Bombyx mori: one gene and its partners. The protein of the gene in region 1 binds, or shares a complex with, the protein of each later gene. Links are inferred from orthologs where the notes say so. Each region holds a gene or a part of one and is shown on either strand. Other genes may lie near its edges. The genes, in order: protein virilizer, N6-adenosine-methyltransferase non-catalytic subunit and RNA-binding protein spenito.

Region 1 (4,346 bases):
GCTCTATAGATCTTGAACTACGTCTCAATCTATCGCCTTCACCTTCACAGTTGATATCTCTACTCTTTTCCCAATCACCTTCCACATGATAAGTCCTAGGATCTTTCGGAGGCTCGTTTTCATAATATTCATTTCGATAAATTGGATTTTCATAATTTTCTGGATACGTATTAGGAGTATAGACATCGGGGTTGGTGCTGGCGACATTACCAGTGTATGATGGTATTGGATTGGTTGGCTCTGGATTCCAGTCAGGTGGTTGTGTCACATTTGCTGGTGGCGCATCTCGGTTGACTGCGGGTCTTTGAATAGTGGGAGGGGGATTGATACCAACTGGTGTTTCTGGTAAAATCTGTGTGAGCGTCCCGTAAACAGCAAGAGTGATGGTAGTGTAACATCCTGAAATTATGTAACATTGTGTTAATGAGTGTAAAAGGTAGAAATTGACAATGTTATAAATAATATAAAATATAAAAATAGGCAAGGGTATTACTTCAACTGTAGGTTAATTCATCACCAGCTTATGAAATTGAAAAGAATAACAAAAGTTGTTTGAATGTCATTTCCATCAGAAACTTAAGAGGAAAACAGATTATTTTCAAATTGATATTGTTACGGTTAGAGTAAAACCATCTGACATTGACTAGCAGAAACGAATATCAAAAGAACTAGCAATATCTAGAATGCTCGAATAGTGGAAACCCTTATTGAAACTACTCGCCCTATCAAGAATGTTCTCGATAATTGTAGAGTGTTTGTGTCAAGTATAAAAGCATTGCAGAGATGACATGAAGGCAGTTAGTAATCGGATCTACTCATAGCGAAACAGCTAATGGATCACCTGAAGCGAAGCAGAAGAAGTATATCACGAATTGTAGTGTTCTAAGTGTTAAATAGAGTTTTAATTTGTACTTTGGTGGAAGTTTTATTTATCTTGAGCCCCAGCATGTAACAATATTAAGAGTCAATGTTCACTTGTAAGGATTACCCTAAGTGGCACCCACAAAGTGCATAGCCATGTCTAGATATGTAACTGTAAGGGGTTTTTTCACATTCCCATTTTAATTACAATAATAATATTCATAGGACAGTCTAGTTTTTACTTTAATTTACACTTCTATTTAGTTTTTTTACACTTTTAATTTATTTAGATCTGTCAGAGATGTCAAAATGATTTTTTTTTATATTTCCTCCTGAATATGTGTATTACTTCATTAAACTACTATTGAAGGGGTTGAAATTATGAATTTAAGCATATTTTTGTATTGTTTTTGAATAAAATCACAATTAGGCATTGATGGTGTAATAAAAAAGTCTACATCAAACTTCATGAACATTTTTCATTGCACATTACACAGTGCCTGAAAACAAAAGATCAACCAGTGAATTTAACTGGTTATGACTCACGGACTCGAACTGTGAATACTCACAGTGCCATAATCCATCAGTTCAAGGTGCACAGCGAGCCATGGAAAGAGCTATGTTTGTTCTCTGAACGACAAAATCAGTTGAATTACCTCATTATTCAACAGAGAATTAAATCAACTACATAACTTAGAGAGTCAGTAAGCTGCAGTAGCAGTGAACTGGACATATATGACATACTGATGATTGCTGGAGTAGAAGGGTTCTTGAGTGGATGGCTTGCAATAGCAAATGTAATGTGAGGCACTCCACAGCTAGGTGGTGAGATTAACTTCAAAGGATGGCCAATTAAAGATAGATGGGAAAAAAACAAACACTGGGCTCGGTGATGTAGATTAGGAGAGGTGTTTGTCCATCAGTGGGCAGCTGTGGGCTGTTGATGATAAGTGTGTGCTTTTTAAGCAAAATTAGTTAAAGAAGTAAGTTTTGATTTTTCAAGAAATGTGTATTATTTCTCTCTTGTAAATAATTTTGCAAACTAGGTAGTAGGTGCAACAAATGGTTTATCATGACTTCATTAAAAACCCAATATGAAAATAGGCTTAAATTAAACATAAAAAGTAATTCTTCTTACAGCTCGACATCAGAGCTACCCCTGAATAATAGGCTATCATTTATTTAAGATAGACCCTGTATATATCGTTTTGGAAATTTCAATTAAGTATTGTGCAACTGGACATGAAACCAAAAATGCATATTGCTACACAATTGAGAATTTAAATCCATTTGAACAAAAACCCTTTCAACCAAATAAGCTCACTTTGCTCATCTATGGTAATATAATGAAAATCACTAATCATATATTATTACATTTCTGGTGCCAGGTATCAAACCATAAGGAAAATAAAACTGCCTGTTTTCTTACCTTTATGTTTACTTACTTTTATCTACATAATTATATGAACACATTGTTTCGTCAGTCAAGAAGAATTCAGTCCAAATGAACATCTTGAAACAGGTTATAATTACTGACCTCTTAATACAAGGCCATCAGTAGGGATTCTAGGATGGTCCCCATCAGCTCCACACTCCATATGAATCTGTCCATTTTGACAGTAGTCCAAACTACCCAAAGCTTCGAAAGTGGAAGCTCCAGGCTTACTCAGATCATTCACGAAAAAGTCGATATGAAACTTCGTAGGGTTTGTGGCGCCTAACCGAACTCGACCGGGAAAGTCTCCTTCAACTCGGGCACCCAATGGAATAACACGTATTTCTCTTACATAGACAGACTTTGGAAACTGTACTAAATCCAGATTCAATTCCTGTAATAACAAAGCGAAGAATGGTTTTGAAAAACAAGCAAAACATTAAGTCGATTTGATTGATAAATATACTGTTTACCTCGCTTGTGTCGTGTGAGAACGTATCAAAGAATAATAGATCGGGTTTCTCAGAGTTCGTCATTGTATTGTTTCATTTAATATTAGTAATTTGTATTCACATGAATTTACTAATATTTTAGAATTAGAAGCATAGATTCTATAATCTACAATCTACAGTATCAGTACAGTAGTTTTATTTTTCCAAATGGAAAGGCAAAGGTACCATACCATACAGCCTAATCTTTTATAATATATATATATATTTATGAAATATTATATTATGAAATAAAATGAAGTTGATTAATAATAATTAAAATAAATAAATAAATATGAAAATGGCATGAAATGAAATGAAATGAAATGAGATGACATGGTATGTTACGGGATATTTTTATGAAAAATGATAATATGGAGTGAAATGATGATGATTAATTTGAGATATTAATCAACTGGGATGAAATTAAAAGAAATAAGATGAGATGATTTGGGATGAAATATTATCTCAGTAAAATGGTGGTCATTTTCGGTCATTTTCGGTTTTCATTGGTCGAATTGTAAGTATCTATCCAAATAAATTAAAATCGGTTATTTTCTCTCATGATATAGATGTATAAGGTGGTTCGGTCATAGACCTTTATTACATCAATGGGTTATTATTAGTTAACACCGTCAAATTCTGTCAAAGGTTCTTTTTTATTAAAATTATGTATTATCTGAAAAGATATAAAGATATATAGACAAATAAAATCGTGTTACGATTATTTTTGTAACTAATGCTCGTTGAAAAATAAAAGTTTCATTTCTTATCATGACATCAATCTTATATATTTATGACAAATTAAAAAAGAAAAAGCGGGTAATTTTTGACAAATAACTTTTTAATCTTTATATGGATTTCATCAGGTTTCATATTGAGTTTTTTGTATTCTTTAACGATGTTTAAATATCTTTACATGTGTGCATACTTGCCTCAAATCAAAACCTAAATGTTTCTATGTCCTAGGTACTTTTCATTAATAGAGGATCTCAGAAAGGCCTTTGTCTTCGCCACTTTGTCTGTTGAAGTTTGGGTATTTTTATTTCAGTGGCTCACGTACCACTATGTGGAATGATTTTTTTTGTTTTAGCGTGTAGGTATTTGGATTTGTTCAAAGCTTATCCTCAATATACATACCTGTTATGTATGAGATTGGCAAAGTTAGAGCAGAGCTGTGCACACGAACGACCGAAATATTATCCTTAACTCCTTTAACCAATACTACAAGCTGTAGTCCAGTTTGAAGGCACCTAGATGTAACATAGATCTGTAACATTCACATTCAACATTAGATATCCACTAGATAGATGCACGCTTACATAATGTGTAGCCAATCTTGTATGTCGGGACACACCCTTGGCATACGACATAAACACAAGATTAAATGTCTACGGAACCGCTGTACCACTTCACTGTACTTGTCTGCCACAAGTTTGCTCGATTATTAATATAGTTGTCATTACGGATCCTCCCGATCCATTAACAGTGCTTTTAGGTACCACAAGCACTCGTCACCGTCCTCATCGAACCCGTCGCTTGCAACGAAGGGCTCGACGAGC
Region 2 (4,146 bases), on another chromosome or scaffold:
ATGTCAAAAAGTCCTGGGATCCTTTTATCTGCACAATGACAACCGAAGTACAACAAACAGCCTGAAGGTCTGGCAACTATTAGCTCGTTCTGTATAAAATGGAACGTGAATATCTAGAAAATATATATAGAAAAATAGACGTTAGTTATCACAATTTTCTAAGTAAATGTCGAAGAATAAAGTATTAATAACTATGACGAATAACACTTTAGTCGTCTGTGACTACGAATAATGAAAAGTATTCGAATCGGTTGAAATAATATAATGACAATAAAACGCGAGATTAAGCCGTAATAGTAGTTTTTAATAAGTCTACTTAATGCAAAACCGAGAGAAATGTTAAATTAGTTTTTTATAAGTCTATTTTTCTAAAAAAAATAACTATAACCTAAAAAATATATTTTTTATTTAACTTTCTAACTTAACTCTTCGCGATCCAGCTCTTGTCTCATCGAGTTTTATTTAACTTTCCATTTCATTTCTTTATGGAGGATAGAGGTAAGGAGAGCCGTCTCTGTGTGAAAAAGTGTCCATTAAAATCTGCTAAATAAGGGTAGCGCTACAGTAGCATCCGGGTAAATTTAAAAAAAGGCGCTAAAAGCTATAAGAATAAGATAGAGAAATAAAAAGGGACGAAAGAACTCTAAGCCTTACAAAATCACAAAAAGTATTTTATTTAAAGCTGATAAGAAAATACAATCTTTTTTTTTTTCGATGTCTGCACGTTTTACTATAGTAAAAACTTTAGGATATATTGACGAAATTAGTTTGGACTACGTAAACATGTGAGGTCTTGTATATTACACTGTCACTAACTACTCTAGTCATTATATATATTAAACCTAACTCAGCATATCTCAATCAGTTAACAACTGCTCAATTCATATCATACCCTGTGCCTATGCTAGCGCCATTCTGGAGGATTTTTGAACTATTACTTAGTGCTGAAAGTGAGACACCCACTTCTCCCATATGAGACGGTTCTCCTTACCTCTATCCTCTATACCAAGCCTGGGCAAATGGCGGCCCGCGGGCCAAATCCGGCCCGCTCTAGAATTTTGTCTGGCCCGTGAAGCATTGTATATATTATTATTAAAAACACAAATATTAGTTTTTGTCTAACATAAATTGGTGCTGTAGCAAACCGACCGGTACGTTACTCTCGCGGCCGTATGCCCGCTCGCTATACATAGTTAGTATCTATGTCCATCTTTTCAACAGTGTATAATCTATGTTCCGGGCGCTTCCGTTTTGAGTGTGAATAGCGTGCGCCCGCGTCTAAATGTAATTATTGTTTAAAAATTGAAAATTGTTTGTTATAAAGGAAGATTAAAATTCGAAATTCGATATTGGTGACTAACCCATAGTTTTAAATACCCCTGAGATCTACCCCTCACTATAGTGCATTTTTTTTTTATAATATATTAAGCAATACTTTTCAACACATTAACAGGGCCGGTGGGAGCCAAAATTTTCTCCCGGACAACGGCTCTTTTCAGCGACTCCTATTCGAAAAAATTATTAAAATAATAGAACAATTAAAGTATGTATAATAGTCGCACAATAAAATTAGAAAAAAAAGCTGTTTGGCTCGAGGTCAAATTTTCATCTGCAATGTGGCCCGACTATCAAAATATTTACCCATCCCTGCTCTTTAAATTTCTTGTAGCATTTGACGTTTCATACAAACCAAATGAACTTGGCTTTTGGTTACAAAAATATTGGTTTTATCCTTATGGACTATGATCCCTTTACCTGTTCGGTGGATAATTAATAAGCAAAAACAATCATGTTTTGATTGTCGTTTTGTTTATTTTATTATTAATTATTTTACGATTTATTTTAATGAAAGATGAGTGAGAAATTAAGAGAACTACGCGAGAGATCTCAAAAACGAAAAAAGCTTCTAGCACAGACAGTAAGTAAGCATCAATTTAATTTAGTTTTAAATACATAAAAAAGGTTTTAGTCCATGACAACTGTTATTTCTTCAGTTAGGTGTCTCGAGTGTGAGCGAATTAAGACATGCGCTGGGTTCAGCTCTAGACGTACCTGTTAAAAAACAAGCTGTGTCTGGAAGCGGAGGTGAAGGAGATAAACCCACCAGTAAGGACCAACCGGATGAACTTGTATACACCGACTCCTCTACATTTTTGAAGGTTTGTTACTTTTTTTGTAATTAAAGATGTCGAAGCAGTTAACAGAAATTCTAGAGTATTTTAAAGGTTAAGACCTTGTATCTATCGGCAAATTAAATATCTTTCCTAATGACTAACCTCAATCTACCCATGCAAAAAACTGTAAACTAATTGATCAAAGTGCTCTGATAATTTTCATAAGTGGGTTTATATTCATTTATTATTTATCTTGATTTGTGTATAGTGTACTTGGCTGTATTAAATGTATCTACCACTTAAATCATTCACACATTAGTAAGGGGTTATGATTTTATGATATACACATTGAAGATTGACTTATTGTGAACAAATTAATTTTTATACAAATGTTGGTCACTCTACACTGTGAATTTAACAATGATAAGTGTGTTATTGTGATATATTATTGAAAAGAGCCAAGGGACACTACAATTTCATACTAAAATTGATTTCAGGGCACGCAGTCATCAAATCCTCACAATGACTATTGTCAGCACTTTGTTGACACAGGTCAGAGGCCACAAAACTATATCAGAGATGTTGGGCTCGCTGACAGGTTTGAGGAATATCCGAAATTACGTGAACTCATTAAACTGAAAGACGATTTAATTGCGGAAACTGCAACACCACCTATGTATTTGAAATGTGATCTCAAGGTAAATAAATAAAGTATTATCTGATGACTCTCTCTGGCTAGGTGCTGTGATGACCTCCAAACGCTGGCCGGCAAGAAGTGGGATGAGAAGAGCCGTAGACCAGGCTCAGTGGTGTGGATTGGGAGAGGCCTATGTCCAGCAGTGTACGACTATGGGCTGTTGATGATGATGATGATGATGAATTAATGATAATTAAATATTGGCTTTCTGATTTGCTTCATTTTTGGTATAAAAAAAATAAAATCCAGAAGAACTAAAGTAAATAAGTTAGATTTTGCAAAAGCCTTTGCACAAAACATAACTTTGCTGGGTCTTATGGGCTTAATTCTAACAAGGTTAACCCATTTTGTAACATCCTCTTTACAATACTATCCAATGTCATACCTGACAGGCATGATAACCAACCCCACCTAATAGCATCGAGGGATAAATGCAAAATCTAATTAGTTCAGGCAATTACCTGAATGTTAATACAATAAGAGAGGGTAGTCAATAGTCAATATTGTGACTCTTGTGAGTCTGCACGGGTAGGTACCATCACCCCGCCCATTTCTGCCGCGAAGCAGTACATAATCCATTTCAGTTTGAAGGGCGGAGCAGCCTATATTGTATTGTAACTATACTGAGACCTTAGAACTTATATCTCAAAGTGGGTGGTGCATTTACGTTGTAGATGTCTATGGGCTCCAGTAACCACTTAAAATCCGGTGGGCTGTGCGCTTGTCCACCCATCTAAGCAATAAAAAAAAATCAAATGTCAGCAAATAATATCTTAGTTATTCTTGACCACAAAAACTGTAAAGTAGTATAAATCGTCCCAAATATTATAATGACAATAAAAACCGTAAGATTAAACCGTAATAATACTTTTAAATATATTATACTTTATTCCCTTCCAATATTTAAGAACAAAATTATAAAAAGTTGTTGTTAAATCTCAGCCTCGGCCTTGGTCTGAGTACTCGGGTATTACTGTCCTTGTTGTCTTTCTGTTTTTAATTTTTTATTATTATTTATAGTATGTTAAATCTCTATTAATATGTTAATGTAATGCATGCTGTGATTACCTATAATTAGAGTTGCAGTTATCAATTGCTCTAAACATGTCAATGTTATTTTATGTCTTACTGTAAACCCTGTAGGTAATCCTTAAATAAATAAATTAATAAATAAACATTTCTACCACACGCAAAAACCAGGGAAAATAGTGCAGTCGCCCAAATTGTAGATATTGAATTTTGACCACTTTGATCGTAATCATCACAGTTTGATCCATGCTGTTGAATTAACAGCCATACTATCATAACCAGAAATGTTATCATTACCACCATCTA
Region 3 (4,191 bases), on another chromosome or scaffold:
GCCTACTGTGTTGTGTGAAATATATCTACAGACTTACCCAGTTTCAGTTTTATATTATAATATGAAACACGTCAAATCACAAACAATACTGAGTCAACATTTATATCACCATATTTGTAAATTGTAGAAAATTTGTCTTCAATTGACTCTAAATTTGGTAATTTTACTGTTAAAACCACAACACACCACTGACTTGTTGTTCCACTGTACATCCTTTTATAATCATTTTTTTGCAAATTAATGGACATACCAAAACATAAATTCACAATACTTTTTTTTTTGGAACACCTTAACATCACAAAACCACTAATGGATCAACTGCACTGGATATGTCACTTAATCACAAGGTTTAAAAAAACAACTTTCAAAATTAAAATAATCTATTTGTTTTGTTCACACACTACACATCACCTAAATCATACACTGAATATTATACACTTAACTTTAAAAAAGTAAGATAAACTTCTTTTAGTCGGATATCTAGCTGAACTAGCTTCTATACTGTACATTTTCATCAAAGTTAATTCTGATCACTGTGAGAACACAGCACTGCACAAATATTTAAACTTGCACATCTTATGCACCTCACATCACACACATCACAAGAATATAAAGTAAAAAGTGTAGAACAAAAAACTTAAATTAAGAGTATATACCTACAAATAACAATACAATATACTAAAGCAGTGTTTGAATAATTAAGCAGTGCCACCTCGTACTACTACTATAACTAGGTGATCTTCCTTAAAACTCTCTTCAGTTAAATTGTGACACGTTCTTTTGAGAAGGTCAGTTGAAAATTCACATGGAGGGAAAGAATAAAGAACTCCAGTAGCTTCAGTCTCTTTGTTCAAAAGTGATATCACACCTGCTGCTTCTTTTTGTTTAAGATATGATACCAAATTCCTCATTGGTCGTGTTTGTATCGAAACATCTTCATTGGTGACTACAGCAGTAGAACCAGACACACCCACAAAAATGGCATGAGAGCTAGATGTGGCAATACGTTTTTGAACATCATCTAACTTAGGTTGATCCAAACGTAATCTTTGTGTGATTCTGAGCTGTTTTCTACCATCTTCATCTTTCATGAGACTATCAATAATTTCAGAGTCACCGTCTGTTAAATGCAACTTAGTAGGAAACAATGAATTTTTGAGAATCAGTGCTCCATGCCAAATTGTAGTTGCTTTACGAACTAATTCTGCCATTGTTCGTGACGAAGATAGCATCCCACTACTTCTACGCATTGATCCATCAGAGTCACTATCAGGTGATCTACGACGAGATCGTGAGCGTGACCTATCGACTCCAGGCTCCCTTGATCCAGAACGACGCAAGCGACTCTCATATTCTGAATCTAATGGAGCACGTCTCCATTCTTCGTCACGATAATCTCCTGTACCATGATAGACACCTCTGTAGGAGCCACGTCCACGGCCACGATGCCCACCTCTACCCCTATAAGTACCATAGCTATAACCATCCTCCCAAGAACTACCTTCATATCCCTCATATCCTTCAACAGGCCTACCATCTTCACCAACAGGTGCACTGTAAGGTTTAGGTCTATAGGGTCCACCTGTTCCAACGTCTGCGAAATCAATACGCAAACGTCGCTCCGGTCCCCCTAAAGGAAAGCCCCGCATTTCTTTGACAGCAGCTTGGGCTGCATCAATAGAGTCATATAAAATATAGGCATGAGGTTCACCCTTCACATATTCAATCTTTTTAATGGCACCAAACCTATCAAATTCTCTCTCTAACTGTGCTACTGAAGTCCATGGTCCCAGGCCACCCACCCAGACACGTGTTGTGGGTGTAGCTTTGCCATAACCTATTTTACATTGAAATTTGCCAATGTATTGGCCTGATAATTCAACTTTGGCTCTGTGTGCCATGTCCAAAGTTTGATAACGAACAAATGCAAAAGCATTTCCAGTACCTGGAGGAGGTCTTTTAATGTCAATGTCCTCTACTATACCATAGCGTCCAAAAATTCGGCGTAACTCTTCATCAGAAATGTTTATTTCTAAATTACCAGCGAAAAGAGTTCTTGTAGCTAATGGATCATCTTCAGGTTGAACATGGTGTAGGTAATTTGGAAATTTATCTTTTTTGTTCTCAATTTTCTCAAATGGAGGATGGTGAGGCCGGGGCATGTATGGACGTGGCATATAATGGGGATGTGGAGGGTGATGCATAGGTGGTCTGTGATGCATTGGAGGCCCATGAGGACCTGCCATGGGATACTCATGCATAGGAGGGCGGAAATCTCTATGGTGAGGTGGCACTGTAGGAGGGATACCATAGGCTCTCTCATCAGGAGGGGGACGACGTCTCTCTGGTACAGGAGACCAAGCGTATGAATAAGGGCGATCATAGTCAGGAGGAGTTATACTACGAGGCCTCGGTCTGTACTCAGAACGTACAGGTTCATAAACAGGATCAACAATAGCAACTTTATCATACAGTATTATCCTAGGCTTGGCATGTTTAGCGTCTCTCGCATCCTCTGCACTTCGGAAGCAGATGTAGGCTACTCTCTCATCCAACTCATGGGATATTTTTATACTAAAGTCACCATACTTCTTATATTCTCTATACAAAGTATCCTTGACAATCTCATCCGACGCTTTAGGGTGTAAAGCACTAACACATAGTACTTTGTAGTAGCTGCGGACAGATTCATCTCGAGCATCACGAGAACGCACGTAATCATCGCGATGAGGTGACACATATCGACCGCGCGGGCTAGGGGAGCGTACTCGACGTCGTACTCGTTCCGGGCTTCCACGCTCGTCAGAGCTATCGTCATACCTACCAATACTGCTGCGTGTCCGTTTTGATCGCGGCATACTATCACGCGACGAACTTCGCTTCATATTGCGAATTTTCACCGTAATTCGATCTCTATCTCTATCGCTACGCGGTAATCCAATCATGAAAGCTCACTTCGACGAACTACTATCTGAAATACACATCACAATATTACACGTCACTGTAAATTAGTTTTGGTCGATACAATAAAGTAACCCACTGATGCACTATTCTTACCCCAAACGAATTACAAACACTAATCACTCAGCAGATCACTGAAAACCTCAATCTTGGACGAACTAATTCGTATTATTAAGTAGACAATTATTTTAAAATAATCACGTTCACTTCAACTTTATTTAATGTAAATTTGAAATTAGAAGCGCTGATAAGCATCAAGAATATCGACCATTACATGGGAATCTCACAAAATGGCAGTTTGGCTGAGGGTTGCCAAATGTGATTTCTGAATTTCTTGTACATATTTCCCCAAATTATTTTGCCGTTTCTTCTGAGTTGTATTATGTACGATAGGTACGCTGTTTCGGTTCTGTAACCAGCTTTACGGGTAGCGGATTTTGTCCGATAAGTGTTTTTTGGGTCTTCATCGAGTTGATCTTAAAACCAACTTTGGCGCTTCCAACTATATATCGTCCAGTTTGGATTGCATGCAGACAACTTCATGATTAAAAAAACATTAGTCATCAGCATGGTCTAGACCATCCAATTCTTTGGACAACCCCCACATAACAAGTCACATCCATGCTACTGTCGAAATTGCTATGATTTAATTAACTAATTGTTGTAATATGGACTGCTAAACTGAATACTTAATAGAGAAAATTACTGATCTGTATCCCAAGAGAAGTAAAGCTACCTATGATCTGGACTTTTTGGCGGGAACGCGAGAAGTGAAGTTGTGTGCTTTGTTTTATTTAATAGTGTTTCTTAGGTTTGAATGTGTAATAACGTGGTTTATTAACTATTTAGTATCTGTGAAAGTGCACAAATGGGAAAATGAAACAAAGCCACTGAACGTAACTTCTCGGGATCTTCCAAAAAGTTCACTGAAAAAGTCTCAGCAAATGACCCCTATTTTACTGAGATTATACTTCATTCCATATCATCTTATCTCATTTCATTTCATTTCGTTTTCATTTCATGCCATGTATAATAATAATCAACTTCATTTCATTTCATAATATCATTTTTCATTAAAAAAGCTGTCATTAAAATTAAAAAAAGACATGACCAAAAAGTCTTAGTTACCAGATCATAAAATCACTTTAAAAAAATGCTACCAGTGTAGTACCGTAAAATGGGGCGATTAGGGACAAATTCCAACTTTATGAGCAATTTTATGGTAGTTGT

What was found.
Region 2: protein virilizer (region 1) and N6-adenosine-methyltransferase non-catalytic subunit share a complex: the UniProt entries of both Drosophila melanogaster proteins name them as parts of the WMM complex. The link is inferred for Bombyx mori from reciprocal best matches to the Drosophila melanogaster genes vir and Mettl14.
Region 3: protein virilizer (region 1) and RNA-binding protein spenito share a complex: the UniProt entries of both Drosophila melanogaster proteins name them as parts of the WMM complex. The link is inferred for Bombyx mori from reciprocal best matches to the Drosophila melanogaster genes vir and nito.

What each region holds. Positions count from the first base shown.
Region 1 is NC_085117.1:6,048,901-6,053,246, reverse strand, and holds the start of protein virilizer, read right to left. Parts: upstream 2,935-4,346; 5' UTR 2,833-2,934; coding exon 2,770-2,832; intron 2,691-2,769; coding exon 2,399-2,690; intron 400-2,398; coding exon 1-399. UniProt on the Drosophila melanogaster protein: Associated component of the WMM complex, a complex that mediates N6-methyladenosine (m6A) methylation of mRNAs, a modification that plays a role in the efficiency of mRNA splicing and is required for sex determination.
Region 2 is NC_085109.1:13,109,386-13,113,531, reverse strand, and holds the start of N6-adenosine-methyltransferase non-catalytic subunit, read left to right. Parts: upstream 1-1,232; 5' UTR 1,233-1,284; exon of another isoform or gene 1,285-1,352; intron 1,353-1,852; coding exon 1,853-1,918; intron 1,919-1,994; coding exon 1,995-2,159; intron 2,160-2,611; coding exon 2,612-2,812; intron 2,813-4,146. UniProt on the Drosophila melanogaster protein: Non-catalytic component of the WMM complex, a complex that mediates N6-methyladenosine (m6A) methylation of mRNAs, a modification that plays a role in the efficiency of mRNA splicing and is required for sex determination.
Region 3 is NC_085125.1:10,174,525-10,178,715, reverse strand, and holds the start of RNA-binding protein spenito, read right to left. Parts: upstream 2,946-4,191; coding exon 699-2,945; 3' UTR 1-698. UniProt on the Drosophila melanogaster protein: RNA-binding protein that acts as an associated component of the WMM complex, a complex that mediates N6-methyladenosine (m6A) methylation of mRNAs. M6a modification plays a role in the efficiency of mRNA splicing and is required for sex determination.